Linked DNA regions of Caenorhabditis elegans. The protein of the gene in region 3 interacts with the protein of the main gene of each other region in a pairwise test. Each region holds a gene or a part of one and is shown on either strand. Other genes may lie near its edges.

Region 1 (9,999 bases), 3.6 Mb from region 3:
CTTGTTTTCTTTGTATTTCTTCATCTCACACGCTATTTTTCAATGCCAAGGTTTTTTCAACAGAAAAGCGCTCCGAGATGTGATCGGACAGACAGGAATGCTGGATGGGTTTTATGGCAGTAGATATCGAGAAATGTCTTGGTGAGACTTTCGGATAAATATTTCACAATGAAAACACAAATAAATCTTAAATTCAATTAAATAAAACATGTTTGAAATGGAGAAAATCAAGCTCAGAATAAAATTTTCAAAAAGTGAACCATATGCGCTGCGAGACCCAAAGCAAGTGAATTGTTGTGTGCCTTTAAAACTACCGTAACCTGGAAGTTTCAATTATCGATTTGTTTTTTAGAATAATTGTTTATTTTGATTGATTTCTCGTATTCACATTCATTTTTTAAATATATCTCCGATTTTTTTCAATCTTCACACTCTCAATTTCACATCATAGACCAAGCATCAAAATTAAACAAAAAAATTTAGGCCAAAACCCCAAAAAACTCCCCGCAAAACCGTTTCTTCATTTTTTGATCTATAACCCAGACGCAAAGGAGCACGCGTGCTATCTTGCGGTAAGAACAAACATAGTCAGATAAAAAACGAAGTAAAAGAGAAGAAAAGGTGAGAGACGCCGAGAAACAGACATTGTTCGTCATTCTATATTCGCTCAATAACACGCTCACACATCCAGTCGTTATCTTCGGAAAATATCTGGAAAATAGAGAAATCGATGCCCAACTTTTGAAAATACTCATTTAATTGCGGAACGCTTAGTAATTTTTCTCAAATCTAAGAAATTACTCAAAGTTTCGAAATTGTTTGAATTTCCTTCCACCGATGTTTTCCTCAAATTGATAAATAATTGTATAAAAATGAATAAATTTTTATTAATTTCAGGTCAGAGCACCCTCAAGCTTGAAGAGTTTTACCGAAAATGCTGCTTGTTGATGAAAAATTGGAAAAACGCAGTAGCTCGTCATCACTTGATCGATTTCTTCCTGATCTTCCAGTAAGTCTTGCATTTTAAAAAATCAATAACTTAATATAAATATATAAAAATTTCAAGTAATTTTTGCACGATTTAGCTTAAAACATTTTTTTTAATTATTGAAAATCATTGACAATTCGATAAGCTTGCATTTTCTTCCTTCTCAAAATTTTCTCACGATTAAAAACATGAGATAAAAATAAAATAAAATAAAGTTCCGATGAATCATAAACTTCCCAAAAACGACCGATTTGCATAAAAAAAGGGTATCATTTCATGAAGTTTTATCAGTTTATTGTGGTTATTGTTGCCCTCTGAAAAAACATTCAAATTTTATATCAAAAACATATTTTTAAAAACAAAATTTTAATATTCCAACAGATAAAACTAGTAAATCTCGAATTGTTTAAGGCCAAAGAGTAATCCCTTTTTGGAAATATAAGCCTTTTTAATAGGCTTATATTCCAATTCATGACAAATCAGTTCCGCTTGACTATTCTCTTTTTTTAACTGCCTAGTATTGTTTTGAAATTTAAATTTTCTAGAATTTCAGATTACAAATGTTTTTAACACTCAATAAGTTGAATTTCTCAAAAATCTTTTTTTTCAAATAAATTTATTTCAGCAAAAAGTGAAATCTCGACGGAAAATGCGAAAAATCATGTGTTTTGTGGGACTTTTCGGCATTTCGACAATCTTCTTCATTGCAGTCTCCAGTTGGTTTTTCATGAGGGATTTAGGTGGTTTTAGAGTGCACTTCTTACTAAATTATTAATTTTATCCTAATTTTTAAAACTTTTTTGTTAAAATTTAATTTTTTTCTCTCGAAAGAACGAAACATTTTTGTTCTCCGATTTTTAAATTAAATCGAAAAATCGACATCTTTTTTTATAATTCTGAAAATAAATACACATTGGGACTTTTCAACTTCACTCCGAACGAATCCGACTCACTGATTGATTCAGAAGTGGGCGGAGCAGAGTGTCGATTGGTGGTAGATCTCATTTAGAAGAAATGACATTTTAAAAGTTGAATTTTTTGAATTTTTTTTTCCAAAAATTTCTACTTTGTTAGTTTTTTTAGTTCAAAAACCCTCACTAGCACATCTAACCTCACCTACCCGAATTAGCTCTTGACCCAAAATTCAAGTTAAATCTCATTTTATTTTATTTTTTCAGACATTTCATCGTCGGAAGATGTTCCGCTTTATAATGGAAATATTTACGATCCGGAAAGAGATTCAAAAAGTTTTCGAATTTTGTTAGTTGGTGATACAGGAGGTATAAAATGATTTTAGAAAAAAGTGTATCTCTAGTAATTCAGGAATTCCAATATTGGAGACGACTTGGGCACAAAATGAAGTCAAACAGACAATGGCATCATTAGCAGATGAACATAGTGTTCAAATGATATTAAATATGGGTGATAACATATATTTTACGGGACCCACTGATGAATTTGATCCAAGATTCGAGGTTTGTACTTTTTTTTAACCCAAAATTTTAGTAAATCCCTCTAAATTTAAAATATTTCAGTCACGTTTCGAAAATGTCTACACGAATCCGAGTCTACAAGTTCCATGGCTCACAATAGCCGGAAATCATGATCATTTTGGAAATGTGACCGCCGAGATTGAATATACAAAACATAGTAAAAAGTGGTATTTTCCATCACTTTACTATAAGAAATCAGTAGAATTCAATGGTACTTCTATCGATTTTTTAATGATTGATACAATTTCCTTATGTGGAAATACAAAGGATATTCAAAATGCTGGTTTTATTGAAATGTTACGTAATGAATCACATGATCCACGTGGTCCTGTTAATATAACTGCCGCTGAAGAACAATGGGCATGGTTGGAGAATAACTTAGAAGCAAGCAGGTTAGGAATTTTGGATTTTTTCAAAAAATGACCTCGCCACGACCTTTTTGTAAAATAAAAACAGGTATGCACCTTTAAAGTACTGTAATTTTTAACTCTTGTTGCGGAATTTTCATCTATTTTTAAATTGTTATATTCAAGATTAAAAAAAAAGGCGCACATTTTTGCATTCAACAAAATTTAGTCGTGCCGAGACCGTGCATCTTATGCCTGGCCCAGAAATCGGAAGATTTCGCTTCTGGGTAATGGAAATTTATTTTAAAAATCCTCTTTCAGTGCCCAATACCTAATAATTTCTGGTCATTATCCTGTTCATTCTATGTCATCACATGGTCCAACTGACTGTTTACGTCAACGTTTGGATCCACTTTTAAAACGATTTAATGTGAATGCTTACTTCTCAGGACACGACCATTCGTTGCAGGTTTACCTTAGTAATTTTAATTCAAATTACTTTATAAATGTTTCAGCATTTCACTTTTCCCGGGTATGGAGAGCATATAATTAACTATGTTGTGTCTGGAGCAGCTTCTCGAGCAGATGCATCAACGAAGCATATTAAAGAATTCAGTAGGGATACGTTGAAGTTCAAGTGAAGATTGAAAGCATTAAAAAGTAATTTCAACAAACTTTCAGTTATCCGGAAAAATCATGGTTCTCGTGGTCACCAGTTTCGCAGCTCGGATTCCGTAAAGGCGGCTTAATATATGCAGAATTTGGACATTACAATGCTCGACTCGATTTCTTTGACAAAAGAGGAAAACAGCTTTATTCGACGATCATCCCCACACGTGTGATCCCGACGGATACATCGACACGATCAACTGCCTCACCGTTTGTAGAAATAGGAATGTAATTAATTATTTAAGCAGTTGAAATTCAATTTTTTGAATATTTATTGAACTCCCTCATAATTTCATGTATAATATATCTTGAACGGGTTGAAAATAAAAATTTTATTTATTTGTTGGGCTCTAAATTGTAATATTTAAATTATTTTTTGAGCTCCGCCACCTTTTTAAAGGTTATTCAGCGTACTTCGTTAAATTATATTTCCGGAAAATAAATTCTCTGCGTCTCTTAAGCTGTATGCAAACGCGCTCTGAAAGGCAAAAGCGAGAGAGGAGAGGCAGCAGAGAAACGAGCGCCATTTTCAATACTTCACAGGATTTACGAACAAAATGTTCTTTTTTTTGTTAAAATTTCAAAGTGTAACGTTTTTTAATCATACAAACATTTACTAACAATATTCCTATCGAATTTGAAAACTTTGTAACATTAGAAAAACAAAAATTCTACTGTTTCGTAACAATGTCTCATTTTAATCAAAGACTAAAGTTTTCTCAACATTTGAAAAAGAATTTAAGTAAATTTTCTTTCGATTTTTCAGCTATATACGGTTTTCAAACTTTAAGTTCAATAATACAAAATCAAATGATTGATTTTTAAAAAAATTGAAACTGAACGTTCAGCTTGAAACAGCGTTGGAAATTTAAGGATGTGCTAAAAAAGCAAATCAATAAAGAAACTTATTTTTGTCTCTTTTCTCTATTTTCTAAAACTTCTCACTAAAGGTAACTTTCCAAAGTTAGATTTTCAGAATGTACAATCCACCACCTGGAGGCGGCGGTGGCAACAATGGAGGAGATCAATCTCAACAACAACCTACAAATAATGCGACGTTGTTTTTATTACAAATGATTCAACAATCACAACATCAACAACAGCATCAGAATCAACAACAACAACAACTGGAACTTCAAATACGTGATCAAGAGCGTATTTTGATAGAACAACAAAGAATGCAACATCAACAACAACAAAATCAACTTCTTCAAGGACTCAATCAATTTCCATTTAATCCTTTAGGATTATTTCAAGTACAAGCTGCTGTTCAAGCAGCTCAGGCACAATTTGCACAAAATGCTCAAGGTTCTCCAATTCCTTTTCATATCGGTTCTCCACTTCAACCATCACATTCACCAGCAGCTTCTGCTCTTCAGCAACAATATCTACTACCATCTCATTCACCGGCAATAACCCCATTTGCTAGAAATAGTGAAGCTGCAAGAAATATTGAACAATTTATTGCACAGGAAGAGGCTGCAAATGTACCAAGGGCCAACAGTCAACAACAATCTCCATTGATTCGTCCGATTCCACAGCAACAAGCTTTGAATATTCAAAATCTCACATCGACTCAACAGGCACAACAAATCCTGGCCCATCATCGTCAGGTTCCCGTTCAACAAGTACAGCATCAGCAGCATATTCCCGTAAATATTTATTTGATTGAAAATTAAAAAATGTCTGAAAATTGGAAGGTCTGAACCTTTCTTTATAGAAAATTATATTTTAAAAAGTTAGAAAGTACTGTAGCGCCAAACAATTTGTCCTTCATTTCTGCTTTCCCGAAATTCGCAAACCTAATATTTCTCAATTGAGCTCAAAAAATAACAGAATTACTTTTGTTTTTCAGCATTTCGTAAGTTTTTTGAAGAAAATGTGTAAAAATTTGAAGTTTAAGACTGTTTTCAAATATTAGATGATGATATTTTATCAATGAAATGCATGTCTGAACTAAAAAAATTTATAGCAATTGACAATTTTATATTTACGTCAATTTAACAATTCATTCCGAAAACCAATAAATCTATTTTTCAGACTCCTCCACTAGCCCTTCCAATTGCTCAACAAGGACCAATTTCTAATGAAGTTCCTTCAGTTCCTCCAGTTGTTCCAGCAACTTCTGCAGGGTGTCCTCAACGTGAGCCTCGTCAACAACAAGGTGGCCGACGACAAAATCGTCCAGGTCGTCGAAAGAAACCAGAAGGTCCACCACGTGTTGATGAAGCTCTCGCCTATCTGAGAGTTATTAAAAGTACTTTCTCATCTGATGTACCCGTTTATCATCGATTTTTGGAAATTATGAAGGATTTTCGTGCTCAGAGGTAATTCTGAAAATTTGAATTTTATTTTTGAAGGTTGAAAATCAAAAAAAATTGTTTTGGTTTTTCCGGGAAAACAAATATTCTTAGATTTACAAAAAACTTTAAAAAAACATTTGTTTTGTTCAAACATAAGATAACATAATTTACTTGAAAAGGCAAAAAATTTCAAGCTATCTTCCGAAATATCGTAAAACCGACACATTTGATGCGGATTAAATTTTGCTTTATTTAAATCCAAAAAAAAAAACAAATATCTGTCTTTTTTGCAGAATTGAAACACCTGATGTGATTGAACAAGTAGCAGAACTTTTATATGATTCACCGGAACTTGTTCTTGGATTCAATACTTTTCTGCCAACTGGATATCGTATCACATTGACTCCAGATCGAAAATATGTTTTTTCTTCGCCACAAATGCAGCCAAGGGTTCGTTTGGATATTTAGATTATACTAAAAATCTGATTTGAAAATAGTTTTAAAAATCCAATATCCACACAATATTGTTTTGCCTCGAAATTAAATTACAAAAAATTTGAAGGTTCTGCTATCGCCTGACGAACGCCGAGCCCGTGCAATTGAAGCTGGAGCACAAGCTGTAGGAGCAATTGAGTTGGGTTCTCAAGAAGGAATATCAAAAGACGAAGACCGTACAATTGAAGATGAAGATATGGATAAAAGTAAAGAAAAAGATGATGTAGATGGAATTGATGATGAAGATGATGAAGAATCTGGAATAGAAGATAAAAATAATGAAGAAATGATGGAAGAAGATAATCATTTGATTGAAGAAATTATTTGTGATGATAGAAAGAAGGATGATTGTGAAGATTCACAACAAGAGGTTTGTGTTGTTTGTTTGAAAACAAAAAACTTGAAGGTTTTTAAAATATTTGATTTTAAACATATCTGAAATCTTCTTTGATAAATTTTAAAAAAATACATACCAACGTTTTCAGATTTTTCTTCAAAAATAAAAATCTTCTAAAATTTTTACTTTTCTGTATTGCCTTCACTGATAGTTGCTGGTTTTCCCAGTTCTTCAACGATGGGCGATTCTCTTGCTCGTTTGAGCTCTATATCTTTCTTTGTCCTGGAGTGTTTACTGTAGCGAAACATTGTTGTCTTTTCAGTACATTTTCTTAGCTATTTATTATTGTATATCAAACTTCTGCCTTCACAAGCCATAATTGATCTAGAAAACATGTAAGTGCCATGTGAAAAATTTAAAAATCGTTTTCAGATCGAAATGTCAAGTGAATTGGCTGCTCATACACTGAACATAATCGAACTTCTCAAAAAATCGTTTCTGGCTCGCCCGACGAAACTTGTTGATTTCATGACGTTCATTGACTTCTTCATGAGTGATCAACAATATAAAAAAGATATGGAAAAATTGAGAAAAGATGATGAGGATGACGAGATTGAAGAAAATGAGAAAATCGAAGTTGATGATGTTCCAGGACCATCCAATGCACCACAAGAAATCAAAAAACCTGATGATATTGAGAAAAAAGATTCATCGAAAAATCTGCAAATTGAGGAATCGTGCTCAGATTATCTTGTCTCAATGCTTGCTAATTGTTGTATTGGAGAACCTGATCTTCTTGCAGCAACTATTGATTTTCTTCCATATCTTGGGAAACTTCTTGTTAATGGATCTGATGCGATAGCATTGGTGAGATAATGTATCCTATATATGATTTTTCATAATAATTAAAAAATATTCTGAAATTCCGAAATACCAAATGAAACACGAAAAAGCGAGGAATAATGAAAAACCACAACTTTCCAAATTCAAGAATTTTTCGTTTTTTTGCATGATTTTTGAATTTCAGAATATTTGCAGTATTCTATAGAAAATTTCCCATTCACGAAATTGCGAAAATTTAAAATTTAAAATAGAAATATCTAAAACAATTCAAGTGAACTATCTAATTTAATTTTCAGTTTTTAATATTTAAATATATTTTGAAATAATTAATTAGAAAAGTAGACTTGATATTTGTTCATCGTCGAAAAATATCATAGATCAAAAAAAAATCTCAATAATCATGCAATTTGCCCTTGATCTACCAACCAGTTTTTGTAAACAAAACGCCTTTTTCGTTTTTGAAAAAAAAAACTATCATTGCAAATCAATATTTTTAAACCTTTTTTCTTTTCCAGAAAATCAAAACAATTCTCCATTTCTCCGCCACCAACGATCGTAACGATATTCCACCTGTAAATCGTGTAAATCCATCCGATGTCGACATGGATTTAGTGAAACAAATGGAAAAATGCAAAATGGGGACTAAAAAGGTTTGCTACTCCTTTTAAAATTAAATAAAATGATTAAAAATTTCAGAATGAAAAACTGAAACTAAAAGTTGCTGGGCAAGGCGATGAAGGAGCAACCGTGGAATTGATGATACTCAAGAAATCATACAGAATTCTTTATGAAAGGGTTTGTTTTAACGGTGGAGTAGCGTAAATGGGGATTTCGATTCAAAATCCAAATTTGTCAATAAAATCGCCGAAGACAAAAATATTAACGGTAATCGGCGATCGCCGATCGCCGTGTTAAAAATTATTATCGGAAAAAGTGTAGAAAAATTACGTCACACATGTATTTAAATACTTGAAAACAGGTGTGACGTAATTTTTCTACACTTTTTAATTTTCCAACACTACTTGAATAACCCCATAACCCATTAAAACAAAATCCAATTCAAGCCACTCGCCCTCTAAAAGTTTTTATCATTTTGCTTATTCAATAAACTTTATTTTCAGCTAAAAAGTCGAACAACACCGAATCAACTGTCTCACCTGATGGTTTTGATAAATGCCTACGCAAATTTGGATATAACCCGAGAACAATTGATTAGTGAACTTCCAAAGATCATGGGAACATCTGGTTCTGATCTTGAAATGATTATTCTCCAATTATTGGGTGCAGAAAAAGAACCAAAAAATCGACCAGAGAATGATATGGATGCAGTTATGAGAAAAGATTTACCTGCCATTCAACCAAAACGAGGTCTTCGTGATCAAAAAATGTTGCAACAAGTGAAGAATGTTGAAGCAGCAACAGTGTGTACACTAGGTCCTAGTTATCGATTTATGAAGGATACGAAAGCAACTGATTGTAGTGGACGTGTTGAGCTGGATGATGATCTCAAAGGAGTATGGAAAATTACACAAATTTAAAAATTTTATTTGAATGATATTTTCAGGTTCTCAATGATACGTGGACATCAATACCATCATGGTCATCTGAAGATACTGGTAGTCAGGCGATTAAGAAATCGAATTTGGAAGAATTTCATTTCAAAACCGAGGATGAACGTTATGAGGTTTGTTTTTTTTCGATGTGAAGACAATTTAACAAATATTCAATTAACAAGATTATTTAAAATTTCAGCTTGATATTATTGTTGATTCAAATCGAACTGTCATCGAACAATTGTCAAAAACACTTCGAGATTACGAGGCGATGAGTGATGAAGATAAGAAGTCGTTCAAGTAAGTATTCAGATATTATATCTACAAAAATACCACATAAAATTGAAAAAAAAAATTATCGAGGACCTCTTAGAAAGGGATTCTGCTACACCGAAATTCTCTGTCCGAACTTCCGAAAATTATTTAGAAAATATCAATTGTTTTTTGAAAACGAAACCGAAAATTTGTTTTCATTGTAAAAAGTGATTTTCAGATTGGACAAATGGCTCAATGCTTCATCTCGATCCACCACAATTCGTGTTCTAGCAAAAGTCTTCACAAACTCTGCTCAAGATTTCATTGATGCTGCACAAAAGAATCCACTTGTAGGTTTACGACGAATTCTTGAAAGTCTGAAGGAGAAAGACTTGCTGTGGAGTCGATTCCAACAGGATACTAACAGGTTTTTTACTTAATTTCCCTCAAAACTTTCTAAAAATATCAATTCTAGAACATGGAGAGACGCTTTGGACAAGCAAATGTCGGCTGCAACGACGATTTTGAATAATCAACACAAGAATTACGATCAAAAAGCGTTCAAGTCGAAGCCTCTTGTTAATCAAATCGAACAAATCTGTGAGGAAAGACGGAAAAAGTTTGTTTTTTTTTCTTTAAAGGTGGAGTGGCGTTAATGCTTAAAAAAAATCCAAAATAGTCAAATTCAGAAATACAATCAAAGAAAATCGAAAGGA
Region 2 (10,023 bases), on a different chromosome or scaffold from region 3:
ATGATTTACAATTTCCAACAAGAACCGGAAGCTTTTTTATTGATTCACATGCTTGAAAAGCAGTTGCAATTGCCTGTGATGAAGTATGAGATCCGTATATTATTTCAACCAATCGAATCACATTGGCAGGATTGAAGAAATGAATTCCAACAAGATTGCTTGGGTCGCGGAGAACTGATGAAATCTATAGATTTTAAAGTTAGCAATTTCTCGCAAAATTAAGGCTCTACCTCATTCAAATCCAAGCTTGAAGTATTTGTTCCAAAAATGCAAGTTGATTTGCAGATGTTCTCGAGGTTGGCGAATAGTTCCTTTTTCAATTTCATATCTTCAATTACTGATTCAACAATCTACAATTTTACATTTAAAAAATGTCGTTAAAGTATTTAACAAACAAGATCGCAATTTGAAAGCTTATGGAAATCTGATGTTATTTTCAGATTTGCATTGATTTTTTCGATTCTTTTGTCGTTTAATCTCTTGAATGATTTTTCCCGAGCATACATAACTTCCAACTCTTGCTTGCATCTCTGAAAATAAAAATACAAATTATGTTTTTTTTTAAAGATCTATATCACCTGCTCATTTCGTACTACCAAAAAAGTTTCAATTCCAGCTAAACCAAAGCAGATTGCCATTGCCTTTCCCATAGTTCCACCGCCAATAATTGCTACGGAATTTACATCATAAGCTTCAGAATTCGTGTGATCACCTCGATCATTTGGCAGAGACCACTGGAAGTATACAATTCAAATAATTTAATTGGAAATGAAATCACCTGTCCCGCCAAGGAATGAGCTTCCATCAAATAGCTTCTGACTTCTTCTGGAACTTTGCCCATTTTTTGATTGTTTTCAATTCTGGAGTATAAAAATTTAATCGGCTGAACAACATTGTTTATACAAGTTTAAAAAATGTTTGAAAAATTTAAACACGATACAGTTAATATTTTTTCAGAGTTTTCAGACCACCCTTTTATAGGTACTTTTCATTTGTAATATATCACGTTTTTACTGCCCACTTTTCCAAATATTTCGTTAGTGATAACAAAGAGGATTTTGTCCCGACATTTCGTCCGTGAAGTTCCCGGACAGAAAATGATCTAGTCGATGTTGTCACTGTCTGTTTGTTGATTCATTGATGATAAGAGCTGATGAGACTTTGGTGCTTTCAGTACACTGTCGTCTTTGTTTAAGAGTAAAACACGAAATTCCGTCTAGATCTAGATAATTCAAAAATCAAGTGCAAACATGTGCCTTGTGAATATTTCTGTGTATAGTTTATTGTTTCTTATCTGTATATGTACATACATATGTGATTTATTTGGAGTTGTTTACTAAATTAAGATGTTAGGCTATAACTTGTTTTGATACTTTGAAAAACATCCAATTTTCATAGCGCAGCATATCGTGAGATTATTACGATATCCGAACAAAAAACTATCGCCAACTTTTTTGAAAAATAATGCAGATGGACGCGTATCTCTGGTAGGGCTCAACAAAGTGTTGTCTGAAATTTTTTAAAGGTGGATTTTGTACAGAAGTTGGCTTGAACTGAAATTTTTAAATATAATTATTGTGCCCTACAGAGTACAGCTAAAAATTTGAAGTTTATTGTCGGTCATATCGAGCACCAGAGGAAACACTTTTTTCTTGAAAAAATGTGTGTTCTACCTATTTACCAAGTATTTTTCGTTTTGATATCAAATTTTTAATCCCAACACAATCAGTAATATTTTTTAATACAAAACGTCATTTCAGCAAGGCAGTCTTTATGTTGATTTTTGTGATTCTGTAAGGCAACATTTACTTCCACTTTCTTATCAATTTTCAAGCTCAAATGTCTAAGAGTAAGGGTTGATTTCATATGACAGTGCTTGTCCGGTTGAAATACGAAAAACGCCCACAAAATCCATGTTACTGATAATAATGATAAGTGTACAATTGAATGTCTCAAGATCCGTTTTTCGCTAAATGTACCGTACTTTTATTTTTATAATTATTATTTGTGCACCTCACGGGGTTTATCCAAAAAAATACAGAAGACATTTTAATTTTCAGAATTAGAGATGGGCAATTGGTCTTGCAGATTGATTTGCATCAAACTTTCGACAAAATTTATAATCCCCAGCATGTCATTTCTTGTACATAGTAGATCAATTGTATACAGGGTATTTATTTATGTTTTTACAATAATCATCTCTTTGAACATGGTAACGAACTACAAAATTTATAATTTCGCTGCAAAATTCTTCCTGTCCACATTTTGCAACGTGGCCGCAACTTTGTATGTTCTATCATTTGGTTCTAAAGAATTCCAGAGAATAATTGTGCTCGCAACTTTTTCAATTCCTTGAAGCCATCCAAATCTCATCGGACCACCAGTAGCAACAGGCCATCCAAACCCGAGAATGCTGAAACAATTGTGCTCATAATTTTAATTTTTTTTTGAAATTAAGTTTTACTTACAACATGATATCGATCAAACTTTCATGATGGATGATTCCTTCCTCAATGCACAAAAGACCTTCGTTGACCATGGGATACAAGAGGAAATTGACGGCATCCTGGTAAGTTTTCGGTTGAATTTGAATGAAATTAGAAAGTGAGTACCTGATCGTTCAAAATTTGTATATTTGGACTTGCAGCTGAAGAAAATTTTCGAATGAGCTGCTCCATTTCTATATCATTCTCCTTTTTGTGAGTATTTGGATCATATTTGTAGTATCCCTTATCTGAAAATTACACCTAAATTGGTAAAAAATATTGGGCTTTTCGTGACAGTTTTGAAAATCTTCATTTTGAAAAAATAAATTGAAAACAATAATTTCCGGTTTTCCTTCTGGAACGTTCAAAATTTTGATTGGCACTTATCATTACCACTGAAAAAATATTTTAAAAATTTCAGACTTCAGCTTGTCAAATATTTCAAACTTTTCTTATAGCCGGAGCGAAGGTATTTGTTTTTTAACCTATGTATAACTATTTGCCGCTGGTGATACTCCAAAGAAATTGAAATTATCCGTTTCTCAGTTCATTTCACAATTTATTTAAAGACGTACTTGTTTTTCTACCGTATCTCTTTTGTCTCCAAACTTCCTTTTCAAAATCACTTGCTGGCCATCCATTCTCCTTTTTCAACTTTTCCATTACATCTAATCCATTCATATCAGCTACTGTTAAAGGACCCATTAGGAATCCAAAGTTTGTAATGATTTTATCAATTTGATGAGGAAGATATCCGTATTCATACATCAACTTTTGACTCTGATTCAGATAAACTCCAAGTAGCCGGTTAAATACAAATGCTGGACAGTTTCCCACAAGAACTGGTAGCTTTTTGATAGATCTACATGCTTCAAAAGCTGTAGCAACTGCTTTGGAGGAAGTTTTCGATCCGTAGATCACTTCAACCATTCGAATCAAATTTGCCGGATTGAAAAAATGAATTCCAACTACTTTTGTTGGATCTCTAAGTACTGATGACATCTGAAAGTGAACATGTTCTTTTGGAATAGTTAACTTAAAGCGTACCTCATTCAAATCTAAACTTGATGTGTTGGTTCCAAAAATACATGATGGTTTGCAAATTTTATCAAGTTTAGTGAAAAGTTCCTTTTTCAGTTTCATATCTTCAAAAACGGCTTCTACAATCTGAAATTTTTCTTTTTTTTTCTTTTGAAAATAAAAACAAAAACTCACCAAATCACAATTATTTAGCTTTTGAAAATCTGTAGTTATCTGTAGATTTTTTCTCAATTTTTCAACTTTTGAATCGTTCAGTCTTCGAAATGCTTTTTCCCTTTTGTAAGTGATTTCCAATTCATTTTTACAGAATTCGGCAGCCTGCAAACAAGTTTAACTGAATTGATATTATTTTTAAACTTTATGGCTACCTTATTGTTAACTTCGACAAGATACGTCTCAAATCCTGATAAACAAAATGCGATTGCAATTCCTCTTCCCATGGTTCCACCTCCAATTACAGCCACTGATTTGATTGGAATTGATTTCGAATTTATGTAGTCACCGCGATCATTTGGAAGAGACCACTGAAATGATCAATTTTCATATTCTGATGTAAAAAAATTGTGATTTTCAGATATTGTTAAAGCTGAATGCTGAAAAACTTTGCAAAGTGTAAAAATGCGCGTTTTTCTCGAGCAAGTTCTTCAAAAATTTTGGCAACTGACTAATCAAGGGATTTTCTTGTTTATTATTATTTTTCACCACAACTTAGAATTTTGCCATTGAATCATATAGTCGTGCTCTTCGATATTTGAAAAATACTTTAAAAAAATATTATTCCGATGTTTGCCGGATGAACTAATATTTTATATTATCAATGAAATCGAAATCTGTAACTTCAGCTATTTTCTGTTCTCTATATACTATAAACGATATCGTTTTAGTGATTTCTACCATTGCTCAATTCAAAATTCTGCCGAAAAGTGGTCTTCCCTCACTGAAAAATACCAAAAACAAACAATTCACAAATCTACAGAGTGCCCACGGATACGGAAAAGCGGAAAATAACTAATTTCTCATTCAAAAAACTTTATTATTTTAGTTTTCAAAGTTACCTGAGCCGCCAATTGATGAGCCTCCATCAAATAGTCCCTCACTGCTTGTGGCACTTTATCCATTTTTCTGAATTTCAAAAATCTAAATTTCAAAATAAAACCAATTGTAACGAATTAAAAGATCTAAAGAAATTGCATTGATATATGCCAGATGTGTCCCACGTTAGCGATCAATTGATAAGAAGAACATTGTAGCCTATAGGTACATTTTGGCCATTAAAACAACAATAAAACACGGTTTTATTTATTTTTGAAAAAAAATCGATGAAAAATCATAAATGTTTCTTCAATTTGTGCATCCGAGTGATTCGATATTTGTTGTAGTCATCTTGGATAGTTTCGATGATTTTCTGGAATAAATTTGTTTTTAAATAACTCCTTATTATGTAATTTCAAAAATAAGAATATAACATTAAGAACAACCAAACCCGGCATTTTGGAAAATTTGGACCATTGCTCAAAAACGAAAAAGTGGGAAAATAAGGAATTGAAATATTTTGGAACTCTATTAATTTATGTTAGAGAGAATTTCTGCAGAAGCCGTTCCTTTTCAAATGTTTTCTGTTCAATGTCTAGAAAGAGTGACCACATTTTGAATACACCTTGGCCAGAAATTGGTCAAACTTTGCTCGGAACGTGTTACAGATTTCAAATATGAGGTGACCTAAGTCTGACCCACCAACTTTCATTTTTTTTAACCTTCCAGAACGCACACATGAAGTCTTTACCAAGGCCTGATCAAAACCAAATCAAAAGGTTTTACCAAAATTTGACAAAGTGTAAATATTACAGATGCGCGGTCTAACGTTAATGAAAAGATATTATTCAGTAGGAAATTTGATTTCAGACTTACCGGATATAAATCAAATGCAGCATGCGTACCGAATACAAAATCCATATGACTGTAGTGTGGAAGTTCCAGTGATCCAGCGATTGTTTTATTCATTTTTGACAGAATCGAGTCTCTACAAATCATTCATTTAGTTACATCAAAACTAATATAATTGATTAACCGAATATCTTGAGTATCAGCCAAAATGTCGTCACGACTCCAATAGAGATAAGTTGGTGTGTTGATCTGTGTCAAATCATATTCCGGAGGAGTAGGTTGCCCGTATTCAATGATATTTCCATCAGTTCCATAATCAAACTTAGAAACAGTCTGTGATTTGACAAGTTGAATCCAGTGTTGCAAATCTTTTACAGAAGTGGCTGCAGGTGTATGACAAAGATATACACCAACTCTTGATTGATTGAACATTTTCTCATTTCCATCAATGAAACCGATGTCCAATGTACAAATATTTTGCATAAAGAATCTGCTGCACATGTAACTTATCATTTTTTGAACAGTTCGCGGAATTGACAGTGGAGAGTATGGAAGTCGACCGAGCAAGATTTCTGCATAAGTTAGAAACTTTGTCCCAAACAATCCAAATAGACCACCGATATGGGATACTGTTGCAACTGGAGCCAATGCATGGAAATGACGAATCTTAAATTATTGTTGCTTTTGAGGAGGTAAAGAAAGACTAAAAGCATATTAACTGATCGTATGTAACTTTCTACAAAGAAAATGTTTGTTAGCATACAGAAACTATAAATATATACTGATCGTGATTTTCAATTTTGTGCAAAGCATGAGCTTGAGAAACAAATGTTGGATTACGGCAACTACATAAGTAGTCACAACAAAATGTACTGTTTGTAACTACAATACCCCATAATACGAGTAGTCATACAAAAACATGTCAAATACATCCTTCATCGCACGGGTGCCGAAAAACTGTCTGACTAATTATAATTAGAAACGAATTAGATTTGTTTTAAAATTCTCTGTGTCTAGCAATAAATTGAAATACCTTCTTTGCAAATTCTGGATTTTCTGCAAGTCTTGAGAACATAATCATAGTTCCTTGTGAGTGTCCCAAATAATATAAAAACTCTTGTTTTGTCTCCTTCAATACCAAATCCACACTCGCTGTCAAATCAAATTCCGACATTTGTTGCCACGTGAAATTCCAAAATTTCTGATTTTCCGGTCCATAGCCAATATGTTTTTGTGATGCAGGAGTTCCACGGCTATTTGCAATCCAAATATCAAAACCTGCATCGGCGAAAACAAAACCAGCCGATTGATTTGCTAGATTCGGAATCCAAGAGAATCCGTCCGCAAGGAGGCCGTGTTGCATGAATACTATTGGACGTTTTGAGCTTCTGTCACATTTTTCTGAAAAATATTAGAGATGATATCAAAGGTAATTCACAGCAAAATTCAATGTATATTAAATTATTCAAAAACTTCTTTTTTTTGTTGACAGTTTGGAAATTTACCAATACTGGAACAAAGAGAAATCTGAAATTATTCATTTTGTTTAATCGGCCATGTTAAAAATCAATGAGAAAACTTGTACAAAATCTCTACTGCCGATACTTCATTTTGAAGTTTCCGTTTACGAAATAAATTTAATTTTCAAATGTCACATTTTTAACTAAAATGACAGACTTACCATTTTGTTTACATGGGATTCTGTGAAGTTCCAGAATATACTCATCCGTTGTTCTCACTAAATGTACTTCTGATTCATACCCAAAGTGTTTTCCTATTTCTGGCTACAAAAAAATTTGTTCTGAGATTAATAAAATAATTTTTCTCAAAATCTTACCACAGTCATGTAACATTCATCGTCAATAGCTAGACTTAAATTTATAGAAAATGAGAGTAAAATCAAAAATAAATCGATTTTTGACATGAATCAAAAAACCTTGGGAGGAGAGGTTATATGGCAGAGCAACAGGATGAGTGTTGGGTCACACCTGTTGTAACAATTACCACCTTGGACATGTCAATAACATATGTTGGGGTCAAGGATTAGGTACTTTTCAATTACAAGTGAAGTATTTTTAATAGATTAAAACACCAAATGAACAAATTTCGCGTTTTCTATTTTAAAATTCATCTTCAATCTAGATATTGTAAATGTACATGTAAAACTATTCACATTTTAGGTTTTTTAAAATGGCATTTAGGTTTTAATATTTATGACGATAGCTACAGTAACCCTTGCTTGGCACACTCCCTCATACTTATATTTCACGTGGTGTCAGGTTGTAACGGTTTGATCTCCAAGAAATGCGGGAATTTTTTCCCCAAAAAAATGTGACGTCAGCACGTTCTTAACCATTCAAAATCAGTTGAGAACTCTACGTCTAAACTCCCGCATTTTTTGTAGATCACAACGAAATGGGACATTCTGACACCACGTGATATTTGAGTACTCAAGTTAACAATGAACAATTATTTTATGCTAAGTTTTATGTGGTACTTGTTTAAATTAATGACTGAAAATAGTGAATCATAAAATTGCACTCTATGCTGTAACTTTTTTGGGATTTAAAATTTTTAGGACAAAATATAATAAGTTCGATTTTTGCATCTCTTTTTATTATAACAATTTAATTAAAAATACTAGCATTTTTCTTTCCAGAAATCCCGATTATTCGTTTCTACACATTATCAGAATTTCTAGACCACTTCTAGACCTACAAACTTCGGTAGATCAAATATGGAAGAATTGATCTTGACCCAATTTGCGACAGCGCGTGGTTTCTGATTTCCTTTCTCTGCATATCTCGCCGGAGGCGAGAACGCTCATTCGGGTTCTTTTACTTACTTAACCCCAATTTTTATTTTCTTTATTTTCCGCATTTCTTTAACAGATTTTCGTAACTTTTTTTCTCAATAAATTCCCTATTAAGAGCATATTTTCTTTCCCCACGCACAATAAGTTAGCTCATATTTTAAATACCGATATCGATACTTTCTCGAGATTCCACCTTGGCGCCAAAAAGTTTCAAACGCGGGGCCTAGAAAACACAATGGCCGCGAAAGTTTTCATCATTTTTTTTGTGAGAAATCAGAGAGCGCTCGAGAGCGCCGCTGTTTTAGTCGGTAAACATTCTTTTTTGTGCGCAACGATCGAGAATTGTCACTGTTTTCATATACTGGTATATTTTGTAGTCATTGGATCTCCATTTTAATGAAAATTTCCTTCAGAACATCTGCGTCTCACTAGAAAGTTAGTGTTTCCGTTGTGATGAAACGCGTGTTGGGTTTTTTGGACATTGTCTTTTCATACTTTCAACGCAGAAGAAAGCGGTGTCTTTTTCCACGATTTTATATGTCCAAGAAAAACATTTTTAGGCCTGTCTTTTCAGTTCTTTATTTATTCAAAGTACAGAAACGAAGATGAAAACGTTAACGTTGCGCTGCCCGGTGTTCTTTAGAATGACATTTTTTGCCAACACTTTGCAATTTTTGCCTGAATTTTGAGTTGTTTTCTCGGCCAGTCTCCTGTTTTATGCAGTGGTACCATTAGTAAATAATAGATAAGAAAATGGTGGTGCGTTGAGATGATAATGATACTAGTTGATAACGATAAGGTGTATGTCTCTCCCTGTGTGAAACGGCCGACGATTCACTATTTTCTTCGAGAATGTTCTTTGCCGTTCTTATTCTGAAAATTTTAACATTCTCCCAAAAATCCATTATTTTTGCAGGAGAATGACCGTTTCGGAGCAACTTCGCAATGATTTGGAAGACGCTGCCAACCGCATGCGTATTTCCTCGATCGAGATGACTTGCGCAAGCAAAAGTGGACATCCCACGTCTTCTACGTCTGCTGGTAAGAATTATTCAACATTTACTCGAATCCGATAAATTTCAACATTTTCAGCCGAGATTATGTCAACTCTGTTCTTCTCGGAGATGAAGTACGATGTCGCAGAGCCAAAATCAGCATCTGCCGATCGTTTTGTTCTCTCCAAGGGACACGCTTGCCCAATTCTCTACGCTGCGTGGGAAGAGGCCGGTCTTCTGAGCCATGAGCAAGTGCTCTCTCTCCGCAAAATCGACTCGGACATCGAAGGACACCCCACTCCTCGCTTGAACTTCATCGATGTTGCTACAGGATCTCTCGGACAAGGACTTGGAGTTGCCACTGGCATGGCTTACGTCGGAAAGTACATTGACAAAGCCAGCTACCGCGTCTTCTGCCTTCTCGGAGATGGTGAATCTGCTGAAGGATCTGTCTGGGAAGCTGCTGCTTTTGCTTCAATCTACAAGCTCGACAATCTCGTTGCTATTGTCGATGTCAACAGACTGGGACAAAGTCAAGCCACTTCTCTTGGACATGACGTAGAGACCTACAAAGCTCGCTTTGCCGCTTTCGGATTCAATGCCATTATTGTCAACGGACACAATGTTGATGAGCTCTTGGCCGCATATGAGACTGCTCGTTCCACCAAGGGAAAGCCAACCGCCATCATCGCCAAGACTTTGAAGGGAAAAGGAATCGAAGGAATTGAAAACGAGGACAATTGGCATGGAAAGCCAGTCCCAGAGGGAACAGTAAGTTTGACGTGAGAATGAAATAGTCTCA
Region 3 (13,242 bases):
AAAAGTTTGCATTAAAATTTTCTCAAAAAATTTTTATATACATTATTTTGCCAGATATGTAAATTAGTTTAAATGTTTTAAATTTGATAATTTTAAATTAATTTCAAGTTTTAAATCCTAAACAACTTTTTTTAAAAAATTTTTGCAAAAATTCGATTTTAACGGCGTCTGTAGGTTTTTTTTGTCAAAAATGTCAGAGAACAGTCTCAATATACTGAAAAATAACTGTAAAAATTTATAAAATTTTTCTAAATTTTTAAAATTATTTTTTTTGTAATTTCGCAAAAAAAAATTCCAAATGGCCGAATATTTCTAAATTTCAAAAATTGTAAAAACACTAAAACTTAGGAAATTTCAAAAACTTTTCGTTTTATTGCACCGTTTTTGGTGATTTTGGGCAAAAAACCAAATAAAATTCCAAAATTTTGATTAGATTAGATAAAAAAGCATGCCTGTAGGAACTAGAGACATTAATAAGGGTGCAAAAACCAAAAAACGAACAAGAAAAAACAAGTGATGGTGCAAATACATTTATTACATATTTTCCAAAAAACAAAAAAAGCAACGCTTCCACTCAAAAAATACCTCGATAGACAATAAAAAAGCGTTAAATTTGAATTCCGTGACTTCGAATGTGAGCTTTAACGTTATCTTTCCGTGCAATCGCTCGTCCACACACCGGGCATTGATATTTCTTTTCACCAGTGTGCACAAGTCCGTGGCGACGCAGTGTTGAGGCATCGGTGAACGATTTCGAACATGTGTCACACTGAAATACGAGAGAGAATTTTGAATTTTTTTTTCACAGGAAGGCGATTCAAAATACAACGGAGTGCGCCTTGGAAGTGGTATTGTAGTAAGAACCTTTTTTTTCAAAAATGTCAACAATGTTGTTTTTTTTTTAAACAACTTAAATTTTATTTTGTAAAAAAAAATTTTAATATTTAATTGTAAAAGAAAAAATTGAAAGGTTTTTTTTTTGAGAAATTCGATTTTTGTTTTTTTTGTCGAATTTTCTTTGTGATAATCATTGTCTGCAAAACTTTGGATCTAACTAAATTGTAGCCTTTTTTAGCCTTTTATTCCAAAATTTTTGAAAAATTTACAAAACTTTAAAAATAACATTTTATCAATAAAAAATTCCCTGATCGATCTATATTTGGGAAGCATATTTTCAAATGTATAACTCACTCTGTATGGTCTTTCACCAGTGTGTGTTCGAATGTGGGTCTTCAAAAAATTCCGACGTCCTCGTTTGCCGCAATGCTCGCATGCAAATACACTGAAATATATTAATTTAAAATTTTAATTTAAAACAAAAAATCTGTATTCTCACCAGAGCTGTCTTTTTTTCCGATTTTTTCCGAAAAATCGAAGAACGGAAAATTTTAGATTTTTTGATAAAAACTAATTTTTTACAAAAACATTTTCGATTGAAAAAAACGAAAAATCAAAAGTTTTTCGTTTTTCGATATTTCCGACATTTTTCCGAATTTTTAAAAATTTGATTAAAACTTTGGTCTTTTTCTTCTTTTAGATGAAATTTTAATGTTTTTTCTCATCAATATAAACTGAATTGGATTTTAAAAATATGGTTAATTTTCTGTACATTTTTTTTCGATTTTTCGAAAAAAAAACATCGAAAATTTTCGTTTTTCAATTTTTTGATTTTCGATTTTCTCTCAAAAACATGAAAAACATCAAAAAACCAAAAAAACGCCAGTTCTAATTCTCACCTATTTGTATGCAATCGATAATGTTGTCCAATATTATGTGGCTGAAACTGATCCGACGGACAAGCTTCGCATTTCTTTTTCTCCTTATCAACATGCTTATTCAGAAAATGTTCTTCCATTTGCTTCTGATTCGATAAATCCATCGATTTTTGTTCTTCTTCTGGACACAGTTGACATATTACGTATTGAACAACTCCAACGACTTTCTGATTTTGATCATTCGGTGAATTTCGTAGTAGAAGAGGGCCTGATTGCTCTTTTCCATTTTCCATTTTTATGTGCATTGTGCTCATTGTAGAGGTTGATGGAAGGTTTGGACCTGCAAATTTTGAATTTTAGAAATTATTTCTCTCAAAAAAGCTTTACCTTTTACAATAACACTGGAAAACTTCTCGAGTTGTTCCATAAAATTTGGCATTTCATTTTTATTTCCTTCTTCCGATGAAACATTACCTAAAAATTAAATATTTTGCAACTACTCAATTTTTGTTTCTTTTATTTTCACTAAATTTCATTCCTTTAAAACCAGAAATAAAATTTTTATTCTCGAGACCGTACAATTAAGAAGAGATGTAAATAAGTGAAGTGAAAAACAAAATAATTTAGAAATTATCAATTAAGTTTCTGTTGCCGGGTTAATATTATTCAACGATGTAGATGCATCACCAGGGCTATAGTCTTCGTAATGTACTTTAGATGCACGGAGATTGCTGAAAATTCCTGAATTAATAAAATTCCTTAATTCGACGAAACTAACAAAGCAATCATTTCTTCCGGAGTCGCATCATCACAGGCAACATTTTCCTTCCTACAGTACTCCCGGAACTTTCGCATTTGTTCCCATTGTAAATGCATTCCGCAGTTCTTCTTTTCACTGCAATTCAACAGAATACCTCTTGTTGGATCGTAATGGTAGCTCCGCAGATTTTTCCTGTTTGAAATTTAAATTAAACACGGAACAATGGTTATTACGGGAATTCCCGGGAACACAAATTTCTGGGAATGCGTATTGCGCAACCTATTTGACGCACACAATATCTAAAACTACAGGAATTCGGTAAATGACTACTGTAGTGAGTGTGGCGAATTACGGGCTCGATTTTTGAAATTTATTTTTGAATAGTGACAGCGATAGTATATTTTCCTTTGTTTATTCGTATTATTTTATCGTTTTTCCTAATTTTAATATTTTATCGAAAAATAAATGATTTCGAAAATTGAGCTCGTAAATCGATACAAGCGTTACAGTAGTCATTTAAAGAACTATTGTAGTTTTCGCTACGACATATTTTGCGCATCAATTATGTTGCGCAATGCGCATTCTCAGGATTTTGTGTTCCCGTAATACGATTCCCTCACATTGCTCTTCCAAGAGCATGATTGAATGTAGTGTTTGCCAATTTTCTTTCGGTACGACGTCTCATAATCTCTTCAAATGGATCGACAGCATCAATTGTTAGAAGAAATCTGAATATAATTAAGAATAAATTTAAAATTACTTGTTTGAATTTCTTACGGGTCCATGGGGTCAATTTCACCGTCGAGTAAGTATTCAGGAAGGTAGAGGCCTACAATATCGGTAGTCATATCTGAAATTCAATTAGTTTCAGAAAATTAATTCGAATTTCTGTAACAAGTACCAAATAACGTGGTAATGACGTTTTGAGGGAATTCCACAAAATGTTTGTCACAAGTTCTGACAGTTGATGGCCGGTATGTGTAGATCCAGATCATATAAACCGGATTTAAAACCTGAAGGATACTTTAAAATTCGAATTGAGCAACTAGGCCGTACGTTTTTGAGCACAGTTTGGTAGAAGTTGGTGAGCTGCATTGTAGCGTCGGCTCCGAAGAGATTAGATGAGTTATAGGCTTCCGTTAGATCGATTGAAGGGAAATAGTCAACAGGCAGAGTCACATATGAACGAGTAAGCCTCTGATGCTTGATCAGTCCAAGCTTGGTCTGATTCGCAAAACTTGCTGAAAGTGAGCTGATTGATGCTTGAACTCCGGCGATTGCTTTTTCTTGTGGATCCAACATTTTCATCTAGAATATTCATATTTGAGATTTTTTCAGCAAAAATTCGAATTACCATAACAGTTTGTCCCATCATAATTGCTTCATTTTCCTCTTTGGTGCATTCTTCCGAATCTTTGTAGAATCGGAAAATTGAGATGTTAGGTCTGTGAGTGGTTTTGCAAAATTCCTATAAAAAATCTTTCTAATTTTTAATTTTCAAAGTTTTAAGCTGTACCTCCAATTGATTTTCAGTTAGAGTTTTGTTTTTTATACCATCAATGACGGCTCTTCCGATGTCTACTATACTCTCCCGACGAACCGCCAACTCCAGCTTGTCTGGAAATTGTACGAATTTTTGAAATTTTCAAAAAAAAACCATTATACCAATATTTGATTGAGTCGAGCTTCGTCCAGAATAATTATATCCGTCGTCACTTTCTTCTAATTTTGGTTGCAATAAGTTGGGAAGTGTGACCATTCCACGAGCATTTCCAATAGAAACCGACTGACTTTTTGGAATTTTTCGTTTCAGTTTTTGATGTGAAGAGGTGCCTGAAAATTTTTGGATTAAAATATTCGTTACGTGGTCCGTGTTCCTACATCAGCGTTTTTAAACAATTCTTTCCGTATCTTCCCTGTTTTTATTTTCGCATCATCGATTTCCTGTCACTAGTCTGAAAATTTGTGGTTTTTTTTTGAAAATTCATTTTCTTGACCGAAAAGTCAATACGAAAATATTTACACAGGGAAAGCACAGAGAGAATTATTAAAAACGGGAAGAATATTAATTTTAAAAATAAAATAGAGAAAAAACCGCGAATCGAAAACCGACGCGAAGATTTCGTCAATGTTCAGACAAAATACTTACCATTTTGAGTATTCCTTCCTGCTGCAGCCATTTGCAATTGAGCTGTGGCTGCTCGAAACATTTGAACATCTGTATCAGTCTCATCTTCTTCATCATCATCCATTCCATCACAATCAGAACCACACGATTCTCCATCATCTCCACATCCACATCTTCGCTTTTTTATATGCGTAGTTTCAGAATCGTCACGACTTCTTTTTCGATTTCCAGATCCTGTGGAACTTGTAATCTGCCGGAGAAGTGCAATTTCTTTTTCTTGAAAGTCACATCGTTGTTTTAGCTGGAAAAGATAGGGTTATTGATTAATTATTTCATTAATTAGTACTTTTCAGATCTGAATTCAGAAGCGAAAATACAATATTTTTGGCGGTTTTGAAGAAATTAAAAGATTTTGTTTTTTTATTCATTGAAAATTAATGTCAGAATATGTTTTTTTTGACCACTTGATTCATCTTAAAATAAATTTATTTTTAACGTAAGCACCGAATAAAGTTCTAAAAAATAAAATATAAAAAACTCGATAATTTTTTAAGAAAAACATGGTGCAACATGCTATTTTGTAGAATTGTAAAAAATTATTCGCGGGCGGCAATTCTACAAAATGGCATGTTTTCCAATATTTTTAAATGAAAATTAGTGTCTAAAATAATAGAAAATCACTTAAATTATCTGAAAATAATTTTTTTTTCAACTGGAACATTGGAAAAATGGGCTGAAAGTTGCCGATTGCTTTTTTTTATTTTCCATATGAATCAAAATATTTTCTATATTTTGACAACACAAACTCACTGTGTTATAATCAACTCTGGCTTGTTGAAGTTGCTTCGTCAACTCTTCCACTTTTGTTTTTTGGCTTTGGTGTTGTACCTGAAATTTTTTTTTTTTCATTAAATCCTGACCATTTAGTTTTACTTTTTCTTTTGCATATAATTGAAGAACATAATCACATCGTTCCTGTGGTGGTGGATGAGAAAGTGGAAGAGTTTTTCCCGAATGTTTTTCTCTGTTAATCGGTTCAATAACCATTTGAAATGGATATTCATTTTCCGAATGTATTGTTTCAATCCGTGGTCCTAAAATCGATGGATCGCTTTTCCGTGCCGTGGAGATTTCTTTCAAAATTTCAATAAAACTGGAACACTCGTCAGAACTGATCGATGTATCTAGCAAAATTGTAGCATCGGAAGGAGACGTTATTCGAATCTGAAAATTAATTATTTTTATTTAAAAATCAATATATCTCCAATTAATCTCACTTTTTCAATACCCTCTTCATTATTGGTAACAGCTGATATGCGTAGAGAACATAGTCGACCGTTGAAAATGGAAAAATCACTCTCGTAGAGCACCCTCGAATCGATTAATGATGTCATTTATCCTGAAAAACGTTGATTTTTTTCAAAATGTGGCGAACTAAATAGAACCCAAAAAGAGAAATTCATTAAAAAAACACAATTCTTAAAAACTTTAGCTGGAATAAGAACAGAATGCCAAAGTGAAATCGATTAGAGTAAAGAGCGAACGGCCACTGAAAAAAGGGAAACAAGTGTATGTCACCGCGCTCCTTTGAGAAAGAAAACGGCGCTATGTTCAAAAAAGAACGCCAACGAAAGAATTCTGAAACGCTGGAAAATACTTGAATAGCTCTAAATATTTCATCACATGCAAGTAATATTTTGTATTTTAACAAATTCCCATCATCATCGGATATGAAAATTAATATTTAAAAAATTCATTCGAAAACTAAGGCATTTGTCCAACTATTAAAAAGGAAATCGAAGAAACAACAAAAAAATGGAACAGATTGATAATTGTACACGATTGTCCAGAAATCGTTCAGTTTCCTCTTCTACTTGGCATGTTCGGCGACTGGCCGTACCTCATTGCCTTTGGAGGGTTTGGTTTGAATTTCTTGGAAGTCGATTGGTTTTGAGTGGAGCTTTCGGTATCTTCCTGTGGATCTACGTCACTTAACGAACCAGCTACATCAAGAATACTCGAAACTCGGCCGTAGTGTCTCTCTGTGGCAATAGCTGGAGCGGCACCTGATGGATCTACGTCAGCGAACGAACCAGCTACATCGAGAATACTCGAAACTCGGCCGTAGTGTCTCTCCGCAGCAATAACTGAAGCTGCTCCTGCTGGTTGCTCCGTGACAACCGTTTGAGCTTCTTCAGACTGATGCTCCGTCACAATGATTGGAACGCTCTCCGATTGATGACCAGTAACATTAATTGGAGCTGCTTCTTCATGCTGCTCGGTGTCAATTGATAAGTCGGCAAGTCCCTCAACAGCAATTTCATTTTGAGCATCTTGAGCATCATTTTGAGCATCGTTCTCCTCAGCCCTTGCTACATCCAATATACTTGGTACACGACCGTAGATGGGACTTTCACGAACGTCTTCCTCCACTGTATCGTCAGTTGGCAGATCAGCGACGTCGAGAATACTCGACACTCGTCCATATTTTCTCTTCCGTGGTCTTTTATCCGGGATACTACCGTTCGCCAAATCTACCTGAGCCTCTTCCGAAACCGGATTTGCAACTGGGTCTGGTTTTTTCCTGTTAATAGAAGTATTTGAAACGCCATATCTTGCTGTTGAGCTCTCCTGCTTCTCAGATGTAGTATTATCTAGATCCGCAGCTTCCTCAGGTATTGCAGACTTTGATTCATTTCTCTTCTCGGGAGAGGTGATAATAGCATCAGAGTCAATTTGAAGAGAATTCTGAGCATCAGAGTCAATTTGAAGAGAATTCTGAGCATCATCATCATTTTGTTCTTCTGGCTGTTCATCGACTTCAACTGGAGGTACAAGCCGACGAGCACTTCTCTGTAAATTATTGAACTTAACATTTTTATTATAACAATAAAAATAATTACCCTTTTTGGGTTCACTATTGGTTCTTCTTCTTTCTGTTCGCATCGTTCATTGTTCTTCGTGGTGCGTTTACTGGAACGTCTCATCTGAGCTTTTGGCGCTTTTTGAGGTTGCTCTTTCACCGGGGACTCCACGGGAGAAGCCGGTTCCGTTGGAGTTATCGGGACAGCGGGAGCTCTCGTTGAACGTTTCTTTGCAGCTTTCACTATTGGAGAACGTTCCCTTTCAACAACCATTGGAACTTCATCATTATCAGCAATCAATACATTATATTCGGACTGCAGAACCATCATTTCACTGGCCATACTTGGATTACAACGAATTGATTCGTTTGCCACATCTTCGTCCATACGTACTTCTTGACGACCTATAAACATTAGAAAATTAATTTTTTTTCTCGACAAAACGCACCTGGTGAAAAATAGATTTCGTCAAGTTCAGGATTCTCAGCACAATTCATTGTGTTATCTCGAACAACTTCGATCGGTGTGATCGTTGAGTTGAGCAAATCATCTTCAAAATGAGAAACTTCCACTGGTGGACGAATGGCTGAAGGCTGTTCAACCATGAATTTCGAGGCATATGCGAATTGAAATCTGAATCAATTTAATTAAGAATTTGATGATTGAAATGACGAACAAACCCATTGCCGTGAGGAAAACTAACAGCACCAAGATTGATCTGCTCAGGATTCACAAAATCGTCGACTTGTTGAAATCCGGGAACGAATTCCGGTTCTAAAACAATAATTTATTTATGATTTAAATTAAATATTTTTAACCTTACCTCCTCTGTATGCTACTTTCATCGATGGAATGAGGCCTCTTGGTAGCGGACGGAGCAGGCTTAGAACATTTCTAAGCTCGCTGAACATCTTGCAAAACTGTTGAGCAGTATCATCCATGTTTAAATAATTCACCACAAATTTAGATTTACGCCTGGAAAAGAGTCAGTGAAATTTATATTTAGATAAATGATCTAACCCTCCGTATCCGATTTCGGCACTTGCAGATGTGGTTGAGTCATAGACAAAGGTCCAGACAAACGTTTCCACGGGATTCGTGTTTAGTGACTCTTCAACGACAATAGCGAGTTTCTGCAAACAATGAATTTTTACCACTTACGAGAGTAAAACTGTACCTGAAGGAGTTTCTGACGGATCGCGTCATGAGACGCCAAAAGCTTCGAAGACACACTCCGTCCTTCTGGAATGTCTTGTCGCAAAGTATATCCGCTGACATCTCCTATAAAATAATTCATGCTTAATTGCAAGTCAGATAGATAAAACCTCACCATAAACTTGAAAATCCTGGAAGTATTCCGCAGGAATAACTTTCCGTTCACGGAGAATTGTTGAGTTTGCAAGATAAACGCAGTTGGCCATCACTTCAAGAGAGCTTTTCGAATTTTCATCACCATTTTTCAATGTTTGCTCGTTGAATATAGCCTGAAAATTTTCGTTTTCTCGACAAAAAAAACTCTGTCAAATCTACTCACCCTGTCATCACTCGTCAGAGAGCCAGGGACAACAGAAGAGTCGAAGCTTTCGTCCATTTTGACACTTAAAATATTTTAAAACATTTTTTTTAATTAAAAACTAATTGAAAATGAGAAAAAACTGAAAAATAAATGAATAATTTGACATAAAATAACTAATTTCAACCGAAGTTTACCGTAACTCAGGTCAACATGTTGTGTTCTCGTGTCGAGACCCATGGAAGAAATGTCATGCACCTTTAAGTTTTTTCTTTTATATTTCAATTTTTTTCCGTTCATTTTCTACTTAAAATGCACTTTCAAGAGAATTTCTCATATTTTGAAGTTTTAAAATTGTAGTTTATTAAAATCTGAGCATATCTCTATGTATTTTGAGTCTAGAAACCGCTTTGAAATGTGCAAAGAACAGATGAAAGCACTTAAAATTTAAATAAACGTTTTTTACTTATTCATTTATTGTGTTTTTAAGCTTCTATATTTAATAATGAGACATTAATTTCAGATGAAACCGACGACGAGAAGCGCATCAAAAAGAGCAAATGCGGAATCTTCGGGAGTGAACCAGCCCGAGAAGAAATCACGAATTCCTGAAACAGAAATTGTAGAGGATCCGTTGGAGATCGAAGTACCGCCCGCATCGGCAGATGGCACTGACAACAAGAGTTTTTCAGAAAATGAATACGACGATGATCACAGTAGCAGCAGCGACGAGGAGAGTGATGATGAATACGTTGTGGAGACTCACAAGAGTTCGATGGTGGATGCTGCAGAAAGTTCCGAAGGCGAGCGACCGGATGAACGCGTATGCTGCCTTTTAAAAAATTTTTATCGATTTAACTTCTTTAAGATTGTCCGAGAATTAGAGCAGAAAATTGCTCGTGGGTTGAAGAACGACAGGATTCTCAAAAAGAAAAAGAAAGCGTTAGATGGGGAAGTCTCAGACACTGAAGACGTGGTTTGTGAGTACGAACCACAAGCGATGCCGAAGCAACGAAGAAGGCGACTGTATAGAAGAAAAATGGTGGGATTTTAATGCTAGTTGTTGAAATTTAGAAATGATTTCTTGCAGACCAGACCTCAAGGAGTCCCTAAAAGACGTCGCATCAAGAGACCGGACCTGGAACTTGCAGATGATTACACCTGTGACACTTTTGCTGAGCAAGGATTGACTCTGAAGGTGTGTAAGAATTTATAATTTAAATATTTGCAATAATTTTTCAGTCTTTGACAAGTGACATCAAACAAGACGATCCTGAAGTCGATTGGAAAGCAATGAGAAGGATGGGTATCGGAATCAGATCAACAAAAAGAGACGAAATCAATTCCGATGAGGATGAAGCGGATATTATTTCGCATTCATTTTCTTTCTACCAAACAAGAAACTCTAAAGAGCAAGTGGCACAGGCCGTCGAACTAAATATGAACCCTTTTTCGGAGAAGATCGCGAGCTACAAGTAATTGTTAAGAGAAATATCATGAATAAATATTATGTTTTCAGTGCTCCAAAGTCCGTTCATGGATACAGTCGATCTTCAATTCAAAATCAACATTCAGGATTTATTGACAAGAACGACATCAAATATCCGGACGAATTATTATGGCAGGAACCATTTACGTGAGTATTTTAAAACCATATATATTGATTAAGAATATTTTTCAGCCATCTCGTCTTCTTCCAATCCACATTCAATGCTCACGAGTCTTCCATCAAGTTCCTGAATAATGTCGCAAATTCAAAAAAGCAGGAAAGAGACTCCAAACTGATGAAGGAAATTCGCGAAAGGATTAAGCAGAAATCGCTCGGACATGTAGATGTTCCAATCGACTACACAAACGTGGAAAGTACATCGGAGCAGCCGTCGACTATTGATCAGTACAGCCTTCCTGACCTGACTAGTCAATGCGACGAGGGAACCATAAAGGAGGAAGAAGACTTCGACTATCTGATGGTAGACGCAGAATTCTAAAAGAATTTTTATCCGAGTCACATTATTGTTTTAATTATTCTCTGTTTGTTTCAAATTTTAGAGCATCTAGCTGTTGTTTGAGAATCTCAAATCTCAAATTTATTTATATCGTGAGAATATAATCTATCGTTTTTTCCCGTATTTGACCAAACATTTTCTGTAATATTTAGCTTTTTCGCAATCGTTCGACACTTTATATACGTTCTTTGTTTCTTTTCTAGTAAGATGTTTTTTTTTTTAATAAAACTTTTTTTAAATTTTGAAAATCAAGTTTCATAGAAAAATAGCGATGAGATTCTTGGGAGCGACCAGAAAAATTTGATACAAAACATTAATGGAGATGGAAGAAATAAGTTATTAAATATCAGTCGGTTGACTGTGACGCTTGAATACATCCGTTGTCAAGATCGGATCGGTTTTTGTTAGGCAGGGGAAAATAGTTCTGAAAAATTGAAGATTTAACTTCTTCAGTGGTTTCATTGCATTTTTAGTTATTACGGAAACACAAAGTTCTGAGAAACGCGCAACATATTTGAAGCGCAAAATATCTCGTCGCGAAAACTACAGTAATTCTTTAAATGACTACTGTAGTGATTGTGCCGATTTACGGGCCCGAGTTTTGAAATAAATTATTTATAGATATTGAAATTGAGCAAAAAATCAAAAAAACTAATGATACGAAAAAACTAATTGTAAAGAAAGTTGAAATCGCTGTCACAATTCGAACAGAAATTCATTTCGAAATTCGAGCCCATAAATCGACACAAGCACTACAGTAATAATTTAGAGAATTACTGTAGTTTTTGCTACGAGATATTTTGCGCAATACGCATTCTCAGAATTTTGTGTTCTCGTTATGTCGCGACATGTCGTGTATTTATTCACATGCCTTCTTAAAGGCGCATATGTTTCTTCAGATGGGTCTCGACCCGCAAAAGTTTATGGTGGTTTTTTTTAAATTTTCGCCGCTGTCTTCCTTGCATTTTCGATGAAATTATTACATATATAGCGAATTTTGTCATTTTTCTGTTAAAAATTAAAAGAGCCGCAAAAAGCCTACCATAAACTTTTGCGCGCCGAGACCCATTTGAATTAATCCGTGCGCCTTCAAGTAGGCATGTCAAAATCTTGTGAAATTACGATACCTTTTCAGAATATTTCTAAATTCCCGCATTCTCATGAAACAAAGTGGCTGAAGAAGTGAATGAAATGAGATGAACAAATAACACGTGTATTTTGTGAAAATGTATCCACTTCTGGCATGAACTGGAATTCCTTTGCTTCTGCTGAAAAAAATGAATTCGTGTTTATTATTTAAGATTTGATATTTAAAAAATACCTAGTGATATTAACAAGATGCATTCCTTGAATAACTGCATAAGTGGTTAGATATACTGAATATACCAAAATGACACTTCCAATCATTAGCACGTACTTCTTTCGACGAGCAATCGATTTTCCGTGTGAATGATCTTCTTTCAGAAGATCAGTTTCAGCTTGGTATTTGACATCGGCTCGTACAAGTTTTGTGATTATTCTGGAAATTTTTTAAATTAAAAGAGCATAGAACTTTAGAATTTAAAACTTTCTAGACTTCATTATCTACATCATATGAAGTCTCTATAAAATTTGGAACCTGTAGGGATCCCTGTGCAGGGATCGTGGCGAGACTCACTCAGTAAAACAACATGTGCCTTTAAACTGAAGTGTCATACTTTTATGAATTCACGATATATTTTTGTTAAATCTATGGATTATTCGTACTTTGACTAATTTTTTCCCGATTTTTTGCGGTATTTCAGAATTTTAGACTTTTTTTTTTCGAAACGAATTTCATACCTAAAGAGAATAAAGTAGCAGCTGGCGGTGATTGCAAGACATATAAGACAAAATGCAATGAGAATCATATGAAACACGAAATAATGTGACAAAGACGTCTCCTGATGTTTTATGCAAAACGAGGCTCCACTCATCATTTCTGAACAAAAAAATCCAATTAAAATCCTTTTATCCCTTTTTCAGATAGAAATCGTACCATTTTCACATTCTGTGTCAATCATAACACTTCTCTGTCGGGTGCTCGTCAACATATTGAGTACTGTGAGGACGAATGCTAGCAGCCAGCTCAATACAATTGCCCAGAGTACGCGGCATCTGAAAAGGAGGTTATTTAGACAAGGCAAAAAATTAAAAAGAAATCTGCCAAAATTGGCACATGTACCAGTCACGGTGACTGAGATCGTGGCGAGACCCAGTTTTAAAAATAGTTATTGA

What was found.
Region 1: the proteins of F57C9.4 (region 3) and sin-3 interact in a two-hybrid assay, tested with the Caenorhabditis elegans proteins (one large-scale study listed by BioGRID).
Region 2: the proteins of F57C9.4 (region 3) and ech-8 interact in a two-hybrid assay, tested with the Caenorhabditis elegans proteins (one large-scale study listed by BioGRID).

The regions. Positions count from the first base shown.
Region 1 is NC_003279.8:8,412,358-8,422,356, forward strand, and holds the start of sin-3 (Paired amphipathic helix protein sin-3), read left to right. Parts: upstream 1-4,473; 5' UTR 4,474-4,474; coding exon 4,475-5,149; intron 5,150-5,537; coding exon 5,538-5,824; intron 5,825-6,093; coding exon 6,094-6,250; intron 6,251-6,362; coding exon 6,363-6,665; intron 6,666-7,064; coding exon 7,065-7,499; intron 7,500-7,990; coding exon 7,991-8,125; intron 8,126-8,171; coding exon 8,172-8,270; intron 8,271-8,596; coding exon 8,597-8,989; intron 8,990-9,039; coding exon 9,040-9,159; intron 9,160-9,227; coding exon 9,228-9,328; intron 9,329-9,521; coding exon 9,522-9,710; intron 9,711-9,758; coding exon 9,759-9,902; intron 9,903-9,999. Other genes in the region: F02E9.7 (Tartrate-resistant acid phosphatase type 5), read left to right, coding at 935-1,009, 1,614-1,704, 2,167-2,268, 2,312-2,463, 2,524-2,873, 3,150-3,297, 3,344-3,465, 3,510-3,729. UniProt on the Caenorhabditis elegans protein: Probable transcriptional repressor required for the deposition of dimethylated 'Lys-9' of histone H3 (H3K9me2) on asynapsed chromosome pairs (both autosomes and sex chromosomes) during meiosis, but this does not seem to solely affect the transcriptional status.
Region 2 is NC_003282.8:10,234,470-10,244,492, forward strand, and holds ech-8 (Enoyl-CoA Hydratase), read right to left. Parts: upstream 4,708-10,023; 5' UTR 4,646-4,707; coding exon 4,583-4,645; intron 4,052-4,582; coding exon 3,896-4,051; intron 3,846-3,895; coding exon 3,702-3,845; intron 3,654-3,701; coding exon 3,534-3,653; intron 3,489-3,533; coding exon 3,062-3,488; intron 2,735-3,061; coding exon 2,613-2,734; intron 2,567-2,612; coding exon 2,469-2,566; intron 2,414-2,468; coding exon 2,230-2,413; 3' UTR 2,157-2,229; downstream 1-2,156. Other genes in the region: ech-9 (Enoyl-CoA Hydratase), read right to left, coding at 1-184, 231-350, 396-530, 579-734, 779-841; lipl-7 (Lipase), read right to left, coding at 4,855-4,932, 5,436-5,547, 5,596-6,077, 6,445-6,812, 7,093-7,195, 7,249-7,335; tkt-1 (transketolase), read left to right, coding at 9,147-9,267, 9,319-9,992.
Region 3 is NC_003279.8:4,822,895-4,836,136, reverse strand, and holds F57C9.4 (C2H2-type domain-containing protein), read right to left. Parts: upstream 5,998-13,242; coding exon 5,881-5,997; intron 5,828-5,880; coding exon 5,537-5,827; intron 5,492-5,536; coding exon 5,414-5,491; intron 4,905-5,413; coding exon 4,625-4,904; intron 4,309-4,624; coding exon 4,141-4,308; intron 4,093-4,140; coding exon 3,992-4,092; intron 3,944-3,991; coding exon 3,830-3,943; intron 3,784-3,829; coding exon 3,532-3,783; intron 3,489-3,531; coding exon 3,377-3,488; intron 3,326-3,376; coding exon 3,253-3,325; intron 3,204-3,252; coding exon 3,096-3,203; intron 2,668-3,095; coding exon 2,494-2,667; intron 2,447-2,493; coding exon 2,403-2,446; coding exon of another isoform or gene 2,353-2,402; exon of another isoform or gene 2,190-2,352; coding exon 2,103-2,189; intron 2,056-2,102; coding exon 1,737-2,055; intron 1,283-1,736; coding exon 1,192-1,282; intron 770-1,191; coding exon 608-769; 3' UTR 515-607; downstream 1-514. Other genes in the region: htp-3 (HORMA domain-containing protein), read right to left, coding at 6,461-7,456, 7,507-7,871, 7,916-8,100, 8,148-8,241, 8,291-8,442, 8,488-8,600, 8,645-8,748, 8,798-8,951 and 1 more; tofu-4 (Twenty One u-rna (21U-RNA) biogenesis Fouled Up), read left to right, coding at 9,504-9,803, 9,849-10,022, 10,071-10,178, 10,223-10,455, 10,500-10,616, 10,662-10,968; F57C9.6 (G-protein coupled receptors family 1 profile domain-containing protein), read right to left, coding at 11,326-11,410, 12,114-12,254, 12,308-12,505, 12,808-12,946, 13,004-13,122.